2 linked regions of the Mytilus edulis genome follow. The protein of the gene in region 1 binds, or shares a complex with, the protein of each later gene. Links are inferred from orthologs where the notes say so. Each region holds a gene or a part of one and is shown on either strand. Other genes may lie near its edges. The genes, in order: ubiquinone biosynthesis protein COQ4 homolog, mitochondrial-like; 5-demethoxyubiquinone hydroxylase, mitochondrial-like.

Region 1 (10,849 bases):
AAATTTTATACATTTTCTGTATAGAAATTATGGTTACATATATTCATTCTGCGGTGCAAAGCCTGTATTTGTTTTATTGTACAGATGTAGGATATTATATCGTGTATGTACATTAAGTATATCTAATGGTGGATGTAGGATAAGAAATTTTTATCTTAAATGACCTGACGTCAGCATTGTAATTATTGAAAGATAGAATAGGTGTACATTAGATTTCTTAGAAAGAAAAAGTTAAGCTTTATTGGATGTTGTGACATAAATGAGGGGGATGACATGCTTAAGGGATGAGATATAATGACAGTTAAAAGTTTGATCTCTAAAAAAGAAGGAAAAGTAGTGGAAATTGGGGAAAAAAAGGGGGGTGGGGTGGTTGGCAAATGAATGCCAGCGCGTCATCCCCCTCATAAACTGAGCAGGGACAATGATTTTGTTGACAGTCCTGTATAGACGATTTTTTTTAAGATGCCAAAATTTGGGCATTTGAGGTCACCAAAAACCTACCGGTATTCAATTGACAGTTTAGATGTTGCTTCATTTGAACAGGATCTGCTAAATATCTGAATACAAAATTTTTTCAAAATCAAAATCATAAAAATCATTTATTCCATTTTCATTGCATCAGCCATTATAAATGTTATATTTGTACAAAATAACGGAAACAGGATTATTTCAGGATCTTTACTTAAAATGAGACTTAATATTTTCTTTTAAAAGTAATTTTACTAAAGTGCTTTCTTAATAATTCTTCTGTATTTTCTATTTTGAATTATAATTTTTGTCAGTTTATTTCCTTTTTCAGCTTTTTACATGCTTTAAATCTGAGACTTATAAGATTCCGTAATTTTATTTGAATAATATTGATCCAAAGTTAAAATTTAGAAAAATTACATCATTGGCATCTAATTTGTTCATTATGAACAACTGTAATTTTCCTTTATTTATGTGGCTCCCAGATGGGACCTATGGGAGAAAGAAGGATTTCTACCTTGCCCCTTGATGTCTTATTTAGGACCTGTTAGTACATTTGTGAGGGATTGCTGCCCTTTATAAGTACTTTCTTAGATCAACTGCTTATGGTTGAATAATTAAGTATCTACTAATGAAGGATAGTAATCCTGTCACACTTTTATTTAAACATTTTATTTGTTGGAACGTGACCCTGTGACCTAAGGGGAATACCCTACTGAAGCCCATTTTCTGAATTTTTACTCACTGTTTAAAGAAAAGTTTTAATATTATGAGAAAATGCATTTCCCGAAGTCTCATGGCCTCTTCAGATTAAGCTAGCAGTTTGAAACATGCTTTAATTTTATTGTCTCTTAATTTGCTTTAACAAAGCATTGTTTATGCGTTCAGTTTCATTTGTAGTATTTAGACGCATTATTATTACTTTTGCTATTAATTTTGTTCTGTGAACAGAATATTATTCTATATTTATTGTATTCCTGTCTTTTTGGAGTTTATCCTGAATAATCCTGCATTCTTTTGGAGAGTTATCATACTTTGAATCATGGGATACTAATTGTATGAACTTTAACAGGAAGTGTGTGTTGTTTCATCATCTTTGTCTTTTAAATGTTTGTATTTCAGATATCATATATGTATGTTATTGTTGTCTTTGTATTAATTGTTTATCTACTTAAATAAATTTAAACATTTCCCCACATTTTATCCTTGACTGAAAAATGGTGTACCGGTAAATTAATTTTCAACAAACTGTTTTGACTTAATTTGAAGATCTATTCATTTGATTAACGCTTTGCCATACTCAAGAGATGAAAGTTTTCCACAATACTTAAAAAATAAACAGTGTCCAAAATTAATTTAATAAGAACCACAGTCGTCAAGTAGTCCTGTACCTCCAATCATGTTTTACCCCTTATTTCATATTTCATAAATGGGCTGTGTAATTTTGTTGGCAAACAACTGCAATTCACTGTTCTGCAAATGGTTAAACTCTTCACAACTTTATGGAAGCATTTTTTTTCTAATAAAAGTTGAATTCTTATGATTCTTCTACTGCTGCATTGTCTGAAGTTTTGATTTAAGCTAGCTAGCGTAAGCGTACAGTACATTTATTTTGGTTTGTAGAATTTCCAGTATAGTAAATGCCTTTGGTGTATATCTTCCCCACACAAATTTCATTCAATTAGGAAAGAATCCTAGGGAAAGAAATTACTTGATGAGCTCGAATATTGAATTAATTCAAAGACATATTAAAAAATAACCCATTTTTCAGTCAAGGATTTTGGTGTAGTTTTACAGGATTGATTTTTCCTTTTCACTTATAATACTTGTTGTTTTCACAAATTTTGTGGATTCCACTGGTTTTAAAAGTATTTTGGTGCAATATATATGATCTCGATATGTGTTCAATATATATTTTTTTCCAGATCTCATTTAACTTTATCTGTAAATCTTTAAATATCTGATACCTTGAGGTAGTAAAAAAGGTTTAAAAGTTATAATAAATGTAAAGGGACATACATGAGTTGTACATGTATTAAATTCCCTTTTAAATTTTGGCATTATTATTTAGGTATTATTTAGACTTATTTATTAATTACATGAAATTAAATTGAACATATGATCATTTTTTTAAACAAGATTTATAAAAAATACTTATCATTTACTCTATGTACTTATTTATTTTTGTTTTGATAATAAATGGTGTTTTCATTTCATCAAGTCTTTTTATTTATCTATTGTATATGTGTTATGGATTTGCTCGTTGTTGAAGGCCTTACTGTGACCTATAGTTAATTTCTGTGTCATTTGGTCTTTTGTGGAGAGATGTATCATTGGCTATCATACCACATCTTCTTATATTTATATTGTATTTTAAAGATAGTCAGCTAGATAAGAGCAGAGATGGTATTTGAAAATCTTGTTTGATGAAAATTCAAAGTCAAGTGGCAAATATTACATACATTTTCAGGACAATATATGTGCATATGATATGAACAATCCTTCTTAATACTATACTTTATAAATATGTCCAAAGTAAGTCCAAAGAAAGAAATGTCATCATACCAAACACATAAGATAAGGGCGAAGGTTGGTACCTATCAAAACATTTGAATCTGCTGTATTTGTTTGCACTTGTCTTAAGTCAGGATCTGATGTTCAGTAGGTGTCTCTGGGAGTGTGGTTCATAATAGTTTCTCGTTTCTTGTTTTTTGTAAAGATTAAACCTTTGGTTTTCCTGTTTGAATGATTTTGCACATGTCATTTTTGAGGCCCTTTATAGCTTCCTGCTTTTGGTGTGATCCAAGGCTCCCTGTTTAAGACTGTATTTTACAAATTGTGACTTGGAGGGGAGAAATGTCTCATTGGCACTCAAACCACATCTTCTTATATCTACATAAATCTAAATGCGCCAACCAGTCTTTGCTCCTCCTACTAAACTCATAATGCTAATTAGAGAGGCAGCAAGTTTTGGTTTCGACCAAGCAGAGATTTAACCATCTTCATCCTACAGCACTTGAGAAAATTTGACATTTACCATTCGAACTATGAAAATGAGTTCAAGGTCAGACTAACCCTGCGAGACGACATTTACATCTTACAATTGATCCAAATATTGTTGACCTACTACTTTTAGTATCTAAGACTAAGGACGAAATAGATATGAAAAGATGTGGTATGAATGCTAATGAGACAACTCTCTCATCCAAGTCACAATTTGTAAAGATGAAAACTTAACCTTGATCACTTATCTGAGTTGAGGCCAAGGTCAGATGAGCCCTGTTTACATACAAAAAAAGACCTTGCAAGGATACCATATATCAAAAATAAATAACCTATTTATACTAATAAAAGTGAGAAATGCCCATCATAAAAAAACTACTGAAAATTGAAAAAGAGTTGAAAGAAAATGGACATATGCCAGACAGAAACATTGTAACATAAATATATGGTATCATTCTACAAGATATGAATCATTCAGCTCTTTTACCTTTTTGAGATATAAAGCTTTGTATAATATTTTATTCACTAGCCTAGCCGCAATGCCAAATACCAAATTAGCATTCTTATGTCCAATTCTCAGACTTGCGTTCAGGCAAGACAATACCTGGAGATAAACAATCCATATATATGTGTGCATGTGGTGCAGGAATGTTAATACATAAAAATGGAAAATTCATAATGGGATAAACAGTCAAGTTTTACTTGTCCTAGTACATGTTGCAGATATTTGACCTCTTAGTATATATTTTCATTTTTATTAAACTTGTGTATGGATTAGGAATATGATTATAATACACAGGGATACTCTTGGATTACACTCTGTCTCCATGTGCGGATTTTTTTTAGTGTTGATGACCCAGCAGTTTTCTTCTCATTGGTTGGTTGTTGTAGCTTTGACACATTCGCTGTTTCCATACTCAATTTTAGAGATGTACTGATCAAAACATATTTGTTTAAAAACAATTTTATTTATTTCCAAACATATATACACAATTAAGAATCATTATTTTTATTAGTTTTTTGGAATCAGTTCCATTCCACCATCAAGCACAACTTTCTTCACAGTTTCTCCTTTTTCAGCCAAAATTTCTTCAATAGTCCTTTAAAAGAATTAAAGCACAATTTTAATTAATTGCTTATATCAGGTGAAAGCCAGCATGGCCAGTTAATAGGACTTGAAGCAATAGACAAGAAAATGCATAACATTATATTTGAAAGAACATCTGTAACTACAGTATATTAGATAAGATATCTTTCTATTTGGATGTATGTGCAAGGATCAGGGGTTGACTAAACTAAACTATGTGTCCCCATTCAAATGCATTACTAGTTAAAAGAAAGAAAAGGGGGGTCCATCACCCAGACCCCCTGGATCCGTCACTGGCATATACATGTAGGTATTTTTATAAAGAGTAGTCTTAATCTTTATTTCATGTTGATGTTTATTTTTTTTTAATATTTTGTGGGGGTTTCATTCTGAACTGTTATTGTTAACTGGTTAAGTGAGAATCCTGTATCCCGCTTCTTGTTGCCATAATACATGTAATAGCGCATGTGATTTCCAGTGTTCTGCCATACTTTGTTTCCCATTTTCACGCTTAATTATTGGACTTAATTCAAGTATCACGCTTAAAAAAAATGGGCCAATCCTGCTTCACACTTAGACCCCTTTTGAGAATGGGCCATGCACTGAAACAGAGACATATATACACATGTATATATGTCTCTGACTGAAAGTAATAATAAAAAATGTTTTACCTTCCTTTGAAATCTTGAAACCAGCCAAGATGATCAGCAATCAAGTGATTACTTTTACATTCTTTACAAGTGACAATAACAACCCCCTTTTCATAAGCTTGTTTAGAAAATGTTTCTTGGTTTTTTGTTCCACAAACTTTACATTTGTAAGCCATGAGCAGTGTTCCTTTAATTTTTCCTAGTGTCTGATTTGATTGTGTTTGTCCTTCATCATCTTGTTCACTACTGTAATATCTCGGTGAACACAATATCCTATTAGGGAAAAAGTATCCAATATATCTGCCATCTACCAATTGTTTTTTGAAGGTGTTGCTACCTTGCAAACTTGTTTGAATACCACTTTTCAAACTAAAAGTTCTTAAAATTATGTTGCATTTGTTGTTACACATATAAGTTGTCCGATTTGCCTCCTTAATAGCTGCATTTCTTAAGAATATTCTTACAGGATTCATAATTAGTGTACTTTCATTTTAATATTTAGCCAAAAACACATGCAACATCCGGTTCTATGAGCATGCGCGGAATGTACAGACATACAAAGCGAAAGTAGAAAAAGGGAACAAAAATGACATCTAGCTTGACATTTACAAGGTGTAGGGTTTTACAGAAGTTGACACAACGAAGCTGTCGACTTGTTAGTCAGACATGTAGTATTGGAACATCAAGCAATCATGCGCCAGGTACTTTAAAACTACTTTTCATTACAAAAACGTGAAAATCTGAAAATTGATTTTCAACCAAAATAATTAAAGGTTACTTCAGTGTAAACAAAGCATAAGTGAGGCCCCTCATGGGGGGGGGGGGGGTCCTAGTAATCACATAATCACCATTTTTTTGCCAATATAATCACATAATCATTAAATATTTGCTTATCTTTAGTAATCAAATAATCATTAAGGTTCATCATAAGGAATTGAAAAATATGGCCGTGTTTACACCTCCAAAATTACTATGAGTACAGACAAACTGGTACATCCAGGAAAGTTTTAAGGCATGGCAGGAACTAGATATATAAAAGTTATATGAAGTCTACGTTTCAGAAAATTAAAAACTTACCTGGATTTTGATGTTCATTTTTTTCCAGTCTGCAGAAGATAGCAAAATAAACAAACACCCGAGTTTCATTTGATACGGTCCACTCAGTTACACAGTTTAAACCTGTTAAATAACCTATTGTTTACAGGTGTCTATTGTCCATCTATTGTCCATTTAAATCAATACTACTCACAACATTGATTATATGAGGGGAGCTTCTCAATCGTTTTCACTACTTAGTTAATTTTTGAACCTTCTGCAGGAACGAAAAAAAATGAATAGCAAAATCTAGAAAAGTTTATAATTTTCTGAAACATAAAATGCATTTAAAATTTATATATCTAGTTCCTGCCATCCCTTAAAAATGTTGCAGGTGTATAGGTTAGTCTGTACTCAGAGTAAAATTCGGGGTGTAAATACGGCCATTTTAGCCAAAAGGTTATGATGAACCTTAACTAAAAATACAGTCCTAGGTAATCAAATAATCATGAAATATTTGGCTTAATAATCAAATAATCATTAAAAAAACGGCCAAGTAATCACATAATCAAAAACCCCATGAGGGCCCTCATAAGTTGAAGCTGTATATTTTCTCTTTCACAATTTTTCTGAAAATTTTGGTTATAGAGATTAAAAGCATGTAATGTGTATTCCTATGCATACTGTTAAGTATGTGAATAAGACCGCAGGAGTTTGAAATCCTATCAATAAGGGAGCTACCATTTGATTTTTATGGGGGGGCTAGGATGAAAATTTTTGACCTGCATTTTTTTTTATTTGTAATCTCTGTCCTGCCTTTTTATTTTTCACTCTAATCGGTCCTGCCTTCTTTTTTTTTAGTTTATCGTGACTTTTTTTACCTAAATTGTCGTTCCCCCCCCCTAAAAATCAAATGGTAGCTTCCTAAGGGGGTAAAAATATAACAAACTCGACTATCACAGTAGAGCTTCTCTTGCTCTCTTTTCGAATGAAGCTCTACTGTGATAGTGGAGTTTCTTATATTTTTACCCCCTTTATATTGATAGGATTTCAAACTCGTCCTGTGATGAGACCTTTGGTTTTGCGCAGAACTAAAAATAAAAATTTCTGTATAAATATTTTCTTACCATCAGTGTCATCAGCATCCTGCAATTATTTCAAAATCTCATTTTTCTAAGAACCATTCAGGGTTGGAACGCTGTTCCTCCTTGTGTTGTATCAGCTGCATCAGTCAAGGCCTTAAAGCCTTGATAACAAAGCTGAACTAAACTAGTTTGATTCCCGGCCCCGGGATGAAAATTTCAGGGAATGAATTTTCAGCTCTCCCTTGTCACCATTTGCAAGTATGGTCTTGAGGATACGAAGATATTCCATCGGGAGATGAAGATAAATGGCTAGACTGTGATAAGAGAGAGCCACATCTCTTGCACATTAAAGACAACATTGAAGATTTCGAAAAAAGAGCAGGCTAATGCCTCTACAAGGCAGCACTTGCACCCGCAATGTGGAAAGGGATTAATATAAGTTGCAAAACTTGTTTTTTCAGTCCACTATAAATAAATATGTTTAAACTAGTGAACTAAATTTTAAAAAAATTAAGAGGAAGGGGAGGCATGTTCAGTAACACACACGCTTCAGTTATTCCCTATATAAGCAACCAAATTTTTTTCCAAAAAGGGGCCTGGCCCCCCCTAATTCCGCCTCTGACATCACAACATAGAAAGACACACTATAAAATATCATTTGAAATGGCTTGATCAACTCAATCTAAAAGACATATTAACGCAAGTGAACATTACAGTGTCTGAACGAATAAATTTGATCTATGACACAATGTAAATACAAAACCAATATAATAAGAGGTGAATAAATAAAGGCAACAAAAGTATAACACTGTGAGACACTGTAAATATAAGTAATTTTAAATGATAATACCAAAATCTAGTCATATATATATTTTCTTTTACAGCCATTTGTACTTTCTTTTAAATTAGCAGTATCTACTTTTAGTCTTTTTTCATTTGGCATTTGTCAATTGTAGAAGAGGAACAAGAACCTGACGAAGAAAGAGCCCTGCAGTATGATGATCTTTATCCTGGACACATCCCTACCACATTATTCCAGAAAGTTTTATTATCAGCTGGATCAGCAGCAATGTCTTTATATGATCCGAGAAGAGATGGTAAGAAAAGTGCCATTGGTTAGGTAAAAAAAAACTAGTAAAATTTCAGCCTGCCTTTTCACCATTCCAGTAGTCAGCACTTCTGTGTGGACTTGAATTATCATTGATAATCAGATATGGTCATATCTATTAATTAAATGTTTACAAAACTTTTGAATTTTTGAAATACTAATAAGGCTTTTCTACCTCAGGAATAGATTACCTTAGCGGTTTTTGGCAAAACTTTTAGGAATTTTGGCCCTCAATGCTCTTCAACTTTGTATTTTATTTGGTTTTAACCTTTTTGGATTTGAGCGTCACTGATTAGTCTTATTAGACAAAATGCACATCTGGCGTAAATACAAAATTTAATACTCGGGTATGTATGATGAGTTTATTCTATAGATAGTTTTTATCCCTCCAGACCCCAAAAAGATGAATGATTTTCTCATAGATTTTCCAACCTACTTTAAGTTTGAGCTCCAACTATACAGTGACATTTTTGAGGATTTATTTAAGTTTGTTCTCATACCAACATCATGAACATATCACTCAGTAAAATTTTAATTTTAATCTTTTCTATCAAATGCATACCTCTAATATCTAAAACTCTTATAACGGAGAAAAAACTCAGAATTGTTTTAAACTCCTCATTGTTAATATGTATGTTAGAAAGACAGCAATGCTCTCTTCGTGCTCACCAAAACACTGAAAGTGCTGTTGGAACATGAAACATCAATTTTTGTTTGTTAATTTATTTGTTAATTTATTTGTTAATATATTTGTTAATTTATTTGTTAATTTATTAGTTAATTTATTTATAATTCATCTATTGTGATAAGTACTGTGTTTAATGGTGGTGTTACACCTTATTTAAAATAGGGGATTTGTGCAAAAACATCAAATAGATTGATCTGATTATCAAATAGATATAATCTGTAGTTATTTCTAAAACTAATGTTAAATGTCATTTCAGATATGATATCCACTCTAGGGGAGACCACAGGATATTTTGCTCTAAAGAAAATGAAACAGAAAATGTTGGAAGATCCTGTTGGCAGAAAAATTATTGAGTAAGGGTCTAACAAATATCGATAATTTTAACAAAAAATATGCCATGTTTGATTGATGGTGTTAAATGCCACTTTTAGTAATATTGGATAAATTCTGAGGCCACTTTTTTTTTGGTTGAGGAAGCCAGGGTGCCAGGAGAGACGTAATCAACCGTCAACTGCTTACTGAATTTTTCTCATTGTTCATGGCTGTATCTTGACCTATACTATAGCAGTTAAATTTTATGTCATTTGGTGTGTTGTTTCATTGGCTATCATACCACAACTTCTTATTTTTATATTCAGCAGAAAACTTGAAAGCGTTGTTGAATGCAACTGCCACTACACATCCATTATGTATCAGAGTTTGCAAACCAATATGAGATATATACATGAAAAAATCTAGGGAAAAAAATAATAAATAAAAGAGTGAACACAAAATATAGAGATTGGTAGACATGTTAATCACTTTATTAGAGTTTTATTTGCTTTTTATACAAATATATTTCAGGGAAGAGCCAGAAATTAATACTTCAACATTATCTATAGATTACTTAGGTAGTTTACCAGAGGAAACTTTTGGTAAAAAATACTGGAATTTTCTCAGTAAAAATGTAAGTAATAACATTTTACATTTTGACCTAAACTCCTATCTCTCAAATAATTTCCAGTCAAAAATAGTTCTGAATGTCTTATTTTATCTGAAATATGTTCTGATCTCTGTGCAGACAGTTAAGACTAGGCCTCGGGTCAATACAAATTTTGAGTACAATTATGGTGCTTACACTCAGAATGGAACCAATGAAAATACTGGATTTGGTGTGTCTAGCACAGACTTTGTTCTTGAGTACCAAGTTTATTGTTAGGATAGAGAGCCTAGGTCAGTCATTTCTTCGTAAAAATAACATCTAATTTCAAGATGACTTAATGATTTTGTCAAGCAATATATAAAATACACACAAAAAAATAGTGATTTTATCAAAAGATAGCATTTTGCATGCCTCTTTAATATCTTAATCAAGGAAGATTTAAGAATCCAACTTGAAATGCTAACTATAAAAAGAAATATTTTTATTTTAGGGTTTCTCCCCGGATGCAAGACTTCCTGTACATTTTGTAGATGATCCAGAATTGAAATATGTTATGTTACGATATAGACAGACACATGATTTATTTCACTCTGTACTGGGAATGCCTCCTCATATGTTAGGAGAAGTAGCAGTGAAATGGGTGGAAGCTATTCAAACAGGACTGCCCATGTGTGCACTAGGAGCATTTTTTGGACCTTTAAGATTAGGTCCTGTGTAAGTTAACTATTATATAATAATAATTTAATAAACATTATATCCAAAGCATTTTTACAAAGAATTCCGCTGTTGCTAGGGGCTGTCTT
Region 2 (11,160 bases), on another chromosome or scaffold:
TAAATAAAATTACAAAAGATTTAAGTCATATATATTTCATTTTACCAAATATATATTTATCAATAAATTGAAGTGAAATACATTATTAACTTTAAACTTTATTGAAAAGTTAACAAGCACATGTTTGAAACATCAACTCACCTATTAAATAAGTGTCTAATACTATACTACATGTAATAAAACATATACCATTTGGCTGGGAAGTAATATATTTTTTATCTTCTTTTTCAGCTTCGGGTTAGGAAATAAGGTTATTTCCTGACACTTTATATATTAAACAAATGTAGTATTCAGTACGGTCACTATCATACATATAATTTAAGTGCTTTTCCTGTACTTTTCCTAAATTGTTATTTAGAATTCACTGGTTGAGAGCTCATAAAAGGGGGAGGGTTGTTGAAATTTCAATCACAATAGGTGTTTATTATTTGCATCTGTCCTTAAGTTAATACAAATTGCTACTTTTAAAAGAAAACTTCAGTCTATTTTTCTGAACTGAGAGCAGGATTGCTTTTACAAAATTCCTAAAAAAAACCATCAACAAGAGTGCACATTGCTGAGTTGTCTCACCTGCTTTATAGATCAGGATTGAACTTTTATGTTGAAAGTCTAAAATATTAAGGTTTTACACAGATATCCCATCCAACTTTATAAAAACATTATAAGAACCATGATAAGGTTAAATAGTGATATATGACCTTGCCAGATATGTGCACCTACCAAAAGGGTTTAATATGTTGCAAAATGGGAATCATTTAATGTGGGTCTCATTGGGGTCTAAGCGTGATGTGGGATTGACAATTTTTTGTAAGCGTGACACGTGAAAGTCACATTATTGTGCCATGAAAACAGGAAATGAAGTCTAGCGGGAAACAGGAAATTACAAAAAAATGAGAATTGCGTACATAGTGCAACTGGGTAACGGGAATCTGACAAAACAGTAAGGGGGATCCGGGATCAGAACCTCCCCAATGAGACCCACTTTAATTAAGTCTCAATTCTAATAGTCACAATTTGTCAAAAAAAAACAAACATTAATTCTTTGATATATTCCTTTCCACTATATTATTCCAAATTTTTGCATTTTTTTTAAAGTTTCAACAGTTTTACTCAATTTTCCTCCCGTTTTTATGTTTTAGAATAATAAAATTGAGAATGGAAATGGGGAATGTGCCAAAGAGACAACAACCTGACCATAGAAAAAAACAACAGCAGAAGGTCACCAACAGGTCTTCAATGTAGCGAGAAATTCCCGCACCCGGAGGCGTCCTTCAACTGGCCCCTAAACAAATATATACTAGTTCAGTGATAATGAACGCCATACTAATTTCCAAATTGTACACAAGAAACTAAAATTAAAATTTAAAATATGTTTACTTTAAATACCTGCTCATTATGTTACATCCTTACATTCATTCCAATTTGTAAATTATCTCCCTTGAAACTGTCTAAAACAGCATATTTACATCTATTGACATTTTATATTAGGCGTTTACTGTAAATATTATTATAATATGTATATTTTATGTCAAATCAACAAAAAATATAGTCCTTGATCATGATTTACAACAAAAATCAAGAAATGGTATTAGTTTTGCCGTAGGTAAATTGCATAAATACATAAGGTATGAACCAGATGTTTACAACTCTATTGTATAAAATACCAAAAATAAATATATGATATGGGAAAAAAATTGTTTATTTAAATGTTTATTTTATCAAGGCATGAAAAAAATATCAACAGATAAGTAAAAAAAAAATTTGAAATCTCAAAAATTAACTTAAAGATGCATTGTTCTAAGCTACCAGACAATTTTTAAATAAGGCCAAATAAAATAATATGTGTGGTTCCAGTTACATCTAACAAATATTAGGGTAGGTCGGTAGGGATTTTTAAAAAGTTTTGTTTTATTCTTACATTGAGTCTATGGGAAAAACATTCTGACTTTAACAGTGCTAAAATGCAAAATGGCAAAAGACTTTAGGGTAGGCTATTATAGAGACTAAAAAGTAGGGTAGTAGGGTACTGGAACCACGTGCACACATACATTTTTATATGGCCTTATTGAAATAAAATCCTTCGCAGCTTGATACGTCCGCAAGTATTGACACAACATTCACGCTTTGAAGCAGCTCTTAAATATTGTCCTGAGGCAAAGGAAATGCTTGTTTTAAGCTCTTATTCATAATTAAGCAGTTGGAACAAAATACCTTTCTTCCGTGGTATAGAACCTTGTGGTACAATTGCATACAGATCCATACATATATATATTTAAGTTGTTGTACAGAATCCAAATGTCTTTGGAAAATTTTGACGGCCCAATAAAATACAGTTTAAAAACAAGGATAGTTTGTATGATTGCCACTGAGATTTACTTTCACCAAAGACTAAAGGGACCAAACAGGAAAGTCAAAATCTAAGACAAAGGTTGTTATTAATTTACAACCTCATGTTTCAGTGCAATTATGTAAATCAATGAACTGGAAATCTACATGACTAAAATAACTACAAAAGTACTAAAATGAATAAAAGCTCTTTAAAACTGGCCTCACAAAAACATTTTGGAAAGTATGATTTTATAATACTAGTAAGTTTATATTGTGTAAAAGCAAATCACTGGTACTTTTGACCACTATCAGTCCATTAAAAAATTTCTGGTCCAGTCATACATGTCATAAGGCCATTTTAACTTTAATGAATGGAAGATATCAATATACCCTCAAGGTTGATGTGTATTCAATGATAATATTTGGTTTAGATTTAAAGGGTTAAGTAAATATTCACCCCAATTCAAAAAAGTTCAACAATCTCTTGTGTATATTTAAATGGCTAACACATAATAAGTAATTGTTAATTAAATGGACTTATATTAAGTGTCAATAGCCATAATGATTAGCAGGCTAAGCTACTCCAAACTGTTAATGTTAATTGATTTATGCTAATCTTGCATGCCCTGTTATGAATCTTTAACCCTACCAGACACATCAAAAATTATCAAAATGTGATATGGGGAGTATCAGCTCAACAAGACAGCAACCTCACATCAATAAAGAAAAAAACATCTAGAGGCCAATACACAATATAATTTCTTCAAGCAAAGACCACTGTTGAGGACTTTAAAATACTGTGGATTTGTTTTTTTTTGTGGGTACCTATTTTTTGTTCATTCAAGGTAAAACTTGCATTTTCGTAGATATTTAATTACATGATTTACTACAGTGACTGCTTATATACAAACCTACATTTTTTTGTAAAAGAACATTTTTATTTCAATAGATATTACAAAATGTATTAGTCCCATAGGAAAGATGTGCCTTAAAAAATAGCTTGTTGCACATGACTAGCATGATTGCCTCCTGTATCTAAGACATAGACAGAAATAGGGGGAAAGGGGAGATGGGGGAATGGGTCTGGAAAGGATTCTGAATAGGATTATTGTTCTCTTCTTTTTTTTAGCCAAGAAAACATGAAAATTATATTTTTTTATTGTTCCCCTTTTTCTGTAAAATTGAGAATGGAAATGGGGAATGTGTTAAAGAGACAACAACCCGACCAAATAAAAAACAGCAGCAGAGGGTCACCATGTATTGTGAGATTAATCAAATTACCAACAAGAATGTGTCCATAACCCAGGGATGCCCCATCCACACTATCACTTTCTATGGACCGTGAAAATGGGGTAAAATCTCTAATTTGGCATTAAAATAAGAAAGATCGTTTCATAGGGAACATGTGTACTTAGTTTCAAGTTAGTTGGACTTCAACTTCATCAAAAACTATCTCAACCAAAAACTTTAACCAGGAGCAGGACAGACGAACAGATGCACAGACCAAAAAACATAATGCCCATAAATGGGCCATAAAAATATTTACTGCAATTCTTGGACATCAATATAATCTTTCAGAATTCATACATCTACAACAACAAAAATTATTTTATAGACATATTAAGTTTTTAACTCTTGCACCCCTTTATGACTTTAAAAAGTTAAATGTTTTTTAAATATCATAATTACTTATTTGAATTTAAAACATAACAAATATTGACTGTAATTGGCCATCATGAGTATCAAGGTCGTTTCAATTATAAAAATAATAAATAAAATATATGCTATATTGTCATACTGAAAATTTAAAACCTTTTCATTGTTGTAATATTTGTCTACAAAAATAGCATTTACCTGACGTTCCCAGTAAATTCAAAAGACTTATATAAGACATTTATCTTACATTATAATAAAATCCGATGATTTGAAACTTCTGCACTGATGCACAATTATGATCAGTCCATTAATTTCATACACATTTTTTACGAGAATAATAAAATCATTGTCAAAACGGTTAGACTAGTCTTATGCTTGAAGCAATTAAACCTTTAAAAATCAAGATTGGAAGTCATATTATATCGAACTTCACTACCAAATATGTCAATAATTTCAAGGCGTAACACATAGTAACAAAGAGGATGTGATTCGCCTTTCTGATTTTTATCACATTCAGATATTCTATCATAGTTCGATTTAACATGAAAATTGGCATTACTAAGTTAAAAGCAAGTATTAATAAGCCATTTATAACAAGGTTTCCATATTAACAGCTCAGCTATCCAGGGTTTGTTTTACTTTTGTTTCTAATTGCCTGGGGTCAATTTGATTTTAATCTTGGTGTTATAAGATGAAATGTTCTTATCTGATCCTCCATAGAAACTGGCTGCCACCGAACAGCCCACATAGTCTGACAGTACAGAAAGAGGAATTAAACACCAAAAAATCAATCAATCAATCTTATTTGATCCAATCTGATAAACTGGTTTAAAATGATATAAGGTTTCCAATTTTCTTTTAGAATGTTTAGTCCCAGATGCTTTGGCGAATTAATGTGGGACATTCCAATGCGCCAGCAAATCATAAAAAAAAATCTTCAGGGTTGAAACAATTTTAAGACTACATTGTCTTCCGCAGGACTGAAAGTTTTGAAGAGGGTTAAAATCCTGACCCTGTAGAAACCTTTAGTCTCATTGCAATGATCTTTACATTTTTGTACATAAACATTGTACTGTAACAGTTGATCATGTTAACAACCATTAATTATCCCTAAAACAAATAAGGTCTGAGGTATAATGTACATGAAGTCCTTAACAACTTTTGGTTTGATTTTGCAATTGGCTAGTTGTGATGGCACTGTTGACACAAATCTACTGTGTACAATGACACAATTCTGTCTTTGACAGGTAGTATGTCTATGAGAATACAATATGAAGCACTATCAAGATCAATATTTCCTAATTTTAACAGCAGAAATCAGCACATTGAAGTGTTAATCAATTTTATGTGAGTGGTCACTCTAAGGCCAAAACAAAAATTACTTATGTAGTGGTTAGAACCTCTAGGTTTTTAAAAAAAACATAAAGTGAATGGTCATTGAAAGATGTAAAACTAAATTGGCTAGTTGTCTCTTGAGAGATGTCTTAAAAATAGAAATGTGTGTGACACTGTGTGTACACACAATTCTGATGCCACAGGCTGGAAATAACAAAAAAATGTGGTATGATTGCCAATAAGACAACTCTTCACAAGAGACTAAATGACACGGATATTAACAATTATAGGTCACTAAACAACCTTCAACAATGAGCAAAGGCCCATACCTTATAGTCAGCTATACAAGGCCCCGAAATTGACAAATGTAGAACAATTCAAACCAGAAAACTTAAATGGCCTAATTATATTTTTAATGTACAAAAAAAATATAATGAAAAATATTTATAACCGAGCTGAGCAACAAAATTGTTTGGTTCAACTAAAAGACCTGTAAATGTGCTACTATTTACATGCATTTTAAATAGTCCAATATCAGAAATTTTTGTTTGAAATTCTCAATAAATACCTCAATAAAATCTTTTTAATTATGCATCAATTTTTAACATGTATAAAATTATAAATACAAAATCAATATTTGCATACCTGAATTTTGAAAGCATCTAAGAATGAAATGCATTATTTAAATTCATTCAATGTTCTAATGATTTGTAGTAATTAACAGACATTTCATTCATACTTGACATTGACATTGTATATATCTGTCAATCACAAAACGAAAAAGAGCATCTTTGATTGAAACATAAATAATTATAAATTGAATAAAAATTCCTTACCTAATTTGTCATGTCAACTTCTAAATCGTTTTTATTTACTCTTTCTCAATCGTTTTCTGTGTATTATGTGAGTTCTACATCTGATGAAATTTCCCAATACACAAAAATCTAACAATTCCATTCACAAATTCTGACAGCTCTTGCTCTCAGCTGTTTCATCAAAATATTACAATTTACTGATATTTGATTGGTTAAAAAATAATCTTACAATTTTTATCAATGGGTAAAAAAATAAGACGTTTTCGTAACAAATATTTTGCATTGTTGATGAATTAAATAAATACTTTCTAACCAAGGACATGTACTCAATTTATTGAGTGATTTAAAAAAAAAAATGTTTATAATATTTTCTCCGAGACTTCAATATGTCAGCGCCCATATTTATAGCAGACGATTTACGTAACTTTCTTCAAGTTTTGATGTCTGTGGTCACATAGGACAGAAATATCGATAATACGACTGTAATTTATTTTCTATGAGAGGTTAAAGCACATATTTAATTAATTTAGATTTTAAATTTTTAGTTGTTATATATGAGAAATAATTCAAATATGATAACATGGTCTTGGTCACGTACAAATTATAAAACTGACCTGTGCAGTAGAATTGGTTTGTACCTACAAGTTTCAATACTGTTAGTTAGCATATCTTTGTGTCACGAGATTTAAAGTTTTGATGAAGGTCACATCATCCTTGATATTTTAATCTTGATTTCTGTAATAAATTTCTGATGTAATGTTTTGATTTAATTTCAAACACTGCATAATAATTGAGTGGGGTTGGAGGGTTCCTAATCCCGAAATCCCGGGCTAAAAAACATGAAATCCTGAGGTCCAGAATTTAAAGAAATTTAAATCCCGACATCCTGAAATTTGAAAAAAGAGTTCCCGGATCCTGAAAGGATCGATTCCGAAATCCAGAGTTAAAAAACACCCAATCTAATACACCTTATCGCTATTTGTCCGCCATTGCTGGAAATCACACAGGTTCCCGTAAAATTTTGACGTCATAAAACAAAATGTCTGACGCCACAATGAAAAAGTGATTGTTGTTGACGTCAAAAGTTCAAGCGGACGGGTCAGCCGGGAATAGCGATAAGGTGTATTAAAAACCGATCTTTCATCGCTCCTGTTTCTGATATGTCGCGTGGGAGATCTAACGAAACCCGCTTTGAGGTCACATGTGAGTGACCTCGTAGGTGTGTCTTTTTCGACCAATTAAATTGAGTCTTCCACGATCTTGGAAGTTTAACATAAGGCAAAGGGATGTAACTCATTTTATTTACCACGAAATCGTCAGTCATAATAATTCATAAACTTTTTTGATTGGCTTATTAATAGGTCGTCAACTCATTTGCATATCTTTATAAATTCATGACTTTTAGTTCACTCACATGTGACCTCAAAGCCGGTTTCGTTAGATCTCCCACGCGACATATCAGAAACAGGAGCGATGAAAGATCGGTTTTTAATTAGATTGAAAAACACCCGATCCCGACGACCCGAAAAAGGTCCTGCCCCCCTCATAATGTCATTGTCCTGAAGTTGACGACACTACATCAACAGACTTTAAATTTACTTTGTTTATTCTTAACTTTGTAATCATACTGAACATGCATGAAATATTTGCCACTGGACATTACATCAATCAATCAAATTATCTTAGCTTTAATGTTTGTTTGCACAACTTGAATCCCTGCTTGGGGGTCCTAATACTAATAGGGATACTTACATGACAAAAAACAGTTACTATTAATCTTGCCAAATTGTCATTTACTGAATTCACCAGTCTACACGGTTAGCCACTAGTCCGATGCCCCAGACTAGTAAAATTTGGTTAGGACTAGTAAGTTTTTGCAAAACTTTGTTTGGCCAAATAACAAAAATGTCAGAATATTGGTCTTTTGACTAGTAGTTGAAAAAGTTTTTGGTGCAGACTGTGTGACCACAAAAATATGGGTGAGTTGTCAGGTATGGCTAACAGTAACATAAAATGGCATTCTTACCCTTCTGCCTTGAAATCCTGTACCGGTATATGCTATGCTCGTTAACTTCTTTTGTCTGGTAAGTATCATTAGTAAACGAAAATGAAAGACTTACTAGATGACCGTAACCAAACTGGAGGAACTTCTTCCATGGTCTCCATGGAGTGTGAAAATTTGATACAATCTTCAATTACTAAACCACTATCATCCTGTTTTATGCCCCATCATAGGCAACAGGGTATCAAGTGCTACCCTTGACTGTCCATCCATCTGCCCCTTTTTTTGTTTCCCCACTCTGACTTAAGTTTGTCTCATTTAAATTTTCTGAAACCCATACACAATACTAAGAATCAAAACTTGCAGACAGAGCTCCAGTTTATGTAGTGAGTACTTTAGATTCAAGAGATACATGTAGAGGAACATACATGTAACAAGAGACCATATAACAAGGAAATTAGCAACTATAGGTCACCAAGGGGCCTTTAACAATGACCATACTGCATAGTTAGCTTCATGCTTAAAAGGCTTGGAAATGACAAATGTAAAACAATTCAATTTACGGCCTAATTTATGCACAAAATAATGAATACTTTGATAAAGGAAAAACAAATATGTTACACAGCAACAAATGACAACCAAGTTTCCTTGAATTACAGGCACATACAGAATTGCCTGAGGGAGTTAAAACCCTCATTTCTTTATAATTTCAAAATTTATAAATGTACAATTTTAGTAAGCCAAAGTTTGTTATAAATCATGTCAGTACTGATGATATCATTTGGGATTGATAGTATTAACCCATGGCCAGTGCTGTAAAAAAGGAAAACAACAGTTCAACAGTTTTTTTGGTTTTTTTTAATTCAATAAATCAAATTTTTATATTGTAAATGTGTCTTTCTCAACTAATTTTAATATGGTAACATATATTAAAGCTGTTTTCAGCTGTTTTCAGGTCTTTGATGGGTTGTTGTCTCTCTGACACATTCCCCATTTCCATTCTTAATTTTAATTGGTATCACTTTTATCGTTATTAATTCCCTTTATAACATTGTTTATACAAGTGGGGTTATATCATCTGTGACCCACAGACATATCTCCATTTATTTTCTGATTTACTTTTACCATTTTATTTAACTAAAACAGATAATTTGTAAAATGGCTTCAAGTTCACTTGTACGAATACCATGTCGTTGTATGAGCAAGATGGCTAGACAGAAACGCAGTAGAGAACTTGTGGACAAAATAATCCGTGTGGATCATGCAGGAGAGCTTGGCGCTGACAGAATTTACCAAGGACAGCTGGCTATATTGGGGAATACTTCCGTAGGACCAGTTATAAAGGTAATTATTGATGTGTCCAACACAGACTTTGGAGCAGTGACCGTGATCCTCCAACCCTAATGTCTTTTTATTGCAACCTTTTGATTTCAAGCACTTGATCTTCTCTGCATTAATCTTAAGTTTTGTGATAATATGAAGTAAAACTTTTTTATAAGTTTGGAAATAAATCATATTAAAAATTTTCATAGATAAATGTGATTATAGCAATAAAGTTTAGACCAGACAAAGTTCAAAGTTAGGTTTTTGAACTTTGTATGTAACGTTCAAATGATTCAAACTCAAACATTAAATCCTTTTGATTTTATTGATACATATATGTATCTAATACTTTTACAAATTTTTGTATTGAAATATCAATGACAATGAATTGTGCATATTTGTATTTTTATTTAAGGATTTTAAATTGGAAATAGAATGTATTTTGCATCACTTGTTTGATTGGTCAACTTAATTAAAATCATTGTCTTTTTATAGTAAGAGCATGCAAGCATATCCAGTCATTTCGATGAACTGTTAAATCTACCATTTGTCTACAGGCCCAGAGCTCAATTTTTGAAATTTTTTATTTTGATTCTGTTGGCCTGTAGATATGATTTTTACAGGCCCAAAAGCAATTTTACAATCCTGGGCTGTCTGGGCTGCCACTTAGCATGAAAGACTGCATATCTAAATACAACATATCATTTCAGAATTTTAAATTTGTTTACAATAGTTTCTAAAATGTAGAAATATGGAAATCCTCATGATCAGTTTAAGAGAATACATCATGATTCTTTTCAAAATGTATTTTTGTTATGTAGCCTTGCAAAAAATTACTATAGCTTCAATCTAATGGACTAGAGAATTAAGTTACTGTATAAATGAAGGCAATTGCATTTTTTGCTAATTTCAAAATTGTTAAACTATAGGACATATAAAAGCTGATAAATGTTTATGTTAGAAGCTAAATTGTAACAATGGAACTTCAAAATTTAGCTCATAGTTTTCTGTGCACTTGTTCTGCTTTTATGCACCTCAACTGCACACATTTCAGTCTGTCAGAACAACTGTTAAACAAGGCAAAACTCGCATAAAGAAAATTTTGTATTTAATTAAGAAAACTAATCAGATTTACATGGTCTTCTTTCAAGGTTTCAAGCGAAAATCAATGCCTTCTATTTATCAGACTCAATTTTGTCTTAATAAACAGATTCATCACAGACGTTCAGTAATATTGTGGCATTGCATTGAACTGTTATAAAAGCATAAAACCTAAAGCTTTAGGTGTAGCAATTGGATATTAGTAGGCCCACACAAAATTATTACAATGTATTATTGTGTAGATAATATGATTATATACATGTGCATATTAACGCAAATGAGACTAGGAAATAATTTCAATTTATGGTATTTGTTTAGATAACGATTCAAATATAACTGAAAGATAATTAATATATTATGGAGAGTCGATACAGTTTCACACTGTATTGTCATATTTGTGATATAAATGTGTTGCTGATGGAGATAAGTTCTTTGTAAATTATGAGATAAAACATAGCTCCCTGTTTGTTCTTTAGAAAATAATCTAAGACTCAAAAATTTAAAATGTTTGAAGTTTTGTGAAATTTTCTGACTCTTTTAAGATTATTTTTTTTACCTTAAATTTTTCTTTATAATGCAAATTAGTTTTGTTTCAAAACA

Evidence for each region.
Region 2: ubiquinone biosynthesis protein COQ4 homolog, mitochondrial-like (region 1) and 5-demethoxyubiquinone hydroxylase, mitochondrial-like share a complex: the UniProt entries of both Caenorhabditis elegans proteins name them as parts of the multi-subunit COQ enzyme complex. The link is inferred for Mytilus edulis from reciprocal best matches to the Caenorhabditis elegans genes coq-4 and clk-1.

What each region holds. Positions count from the first base shown.
Region 1 is NC_092356.1:28,600,485-28,611,333, reverse strand, and holds the start of ubiquinone biosynthesis protein COQ4 homolog, mitochondrial-like, read left to right. Parts: upstream 1-5,744; 5' UTR 5,745-5,794; coding exon 5,795-5,909; intron 5,910-8,284; coding exon 8,285-8,425; intron 8,426-9,380; coding exon 9,381-9,477; intron 9,478-9,967; coding exon 9,968-10,070; intron 10,071-10,536; coding exon 10,537-10,760; intron 10,761-10,849. Other genes in the region: DNL-type zinc finger protein-like, read right to left, coding at 4,484-4,571, 5,230-5,681. UniProt on the Caenorhabditis elegans protein: Lyase that catalyzes the C1-decarboxylation of 4-hydroxy-3-methoxy-5-(all-trans-polyprenyl)benzoic acid into 2-methoxy-6-(all-trans-polyprenyl)phenol during ubiquinone biosynthesis.
Region 2 is NC_092352.1:83,474,700-83,485,859, forward strand, and holds the start of 5-demethoxyubiquinone hydroxylase, mitochondrial-like, read left to right. Parts: upstream 1-6,502; 5' UTR 6,503-6,616; exon of another isoform or gene 6,617-7,076; intron 7,077-7,630; exon of another isoform or gene 7,631-8,000; intron 8,001-8,066; exon of another isoform or gene 8,067-9,282; 5' UTR 9,283-9,294; coding exon 9,295-9,480; intron 9,481-11,160. UniProt on the Caenorhabditis elegans protein: Catalyzes the hydroxylation of the 5-methoxy-2-methyl-3-(all-trans-polyprenyl)benzoquinone at the C6 position and participates in the biosynthesis of ubiquinone.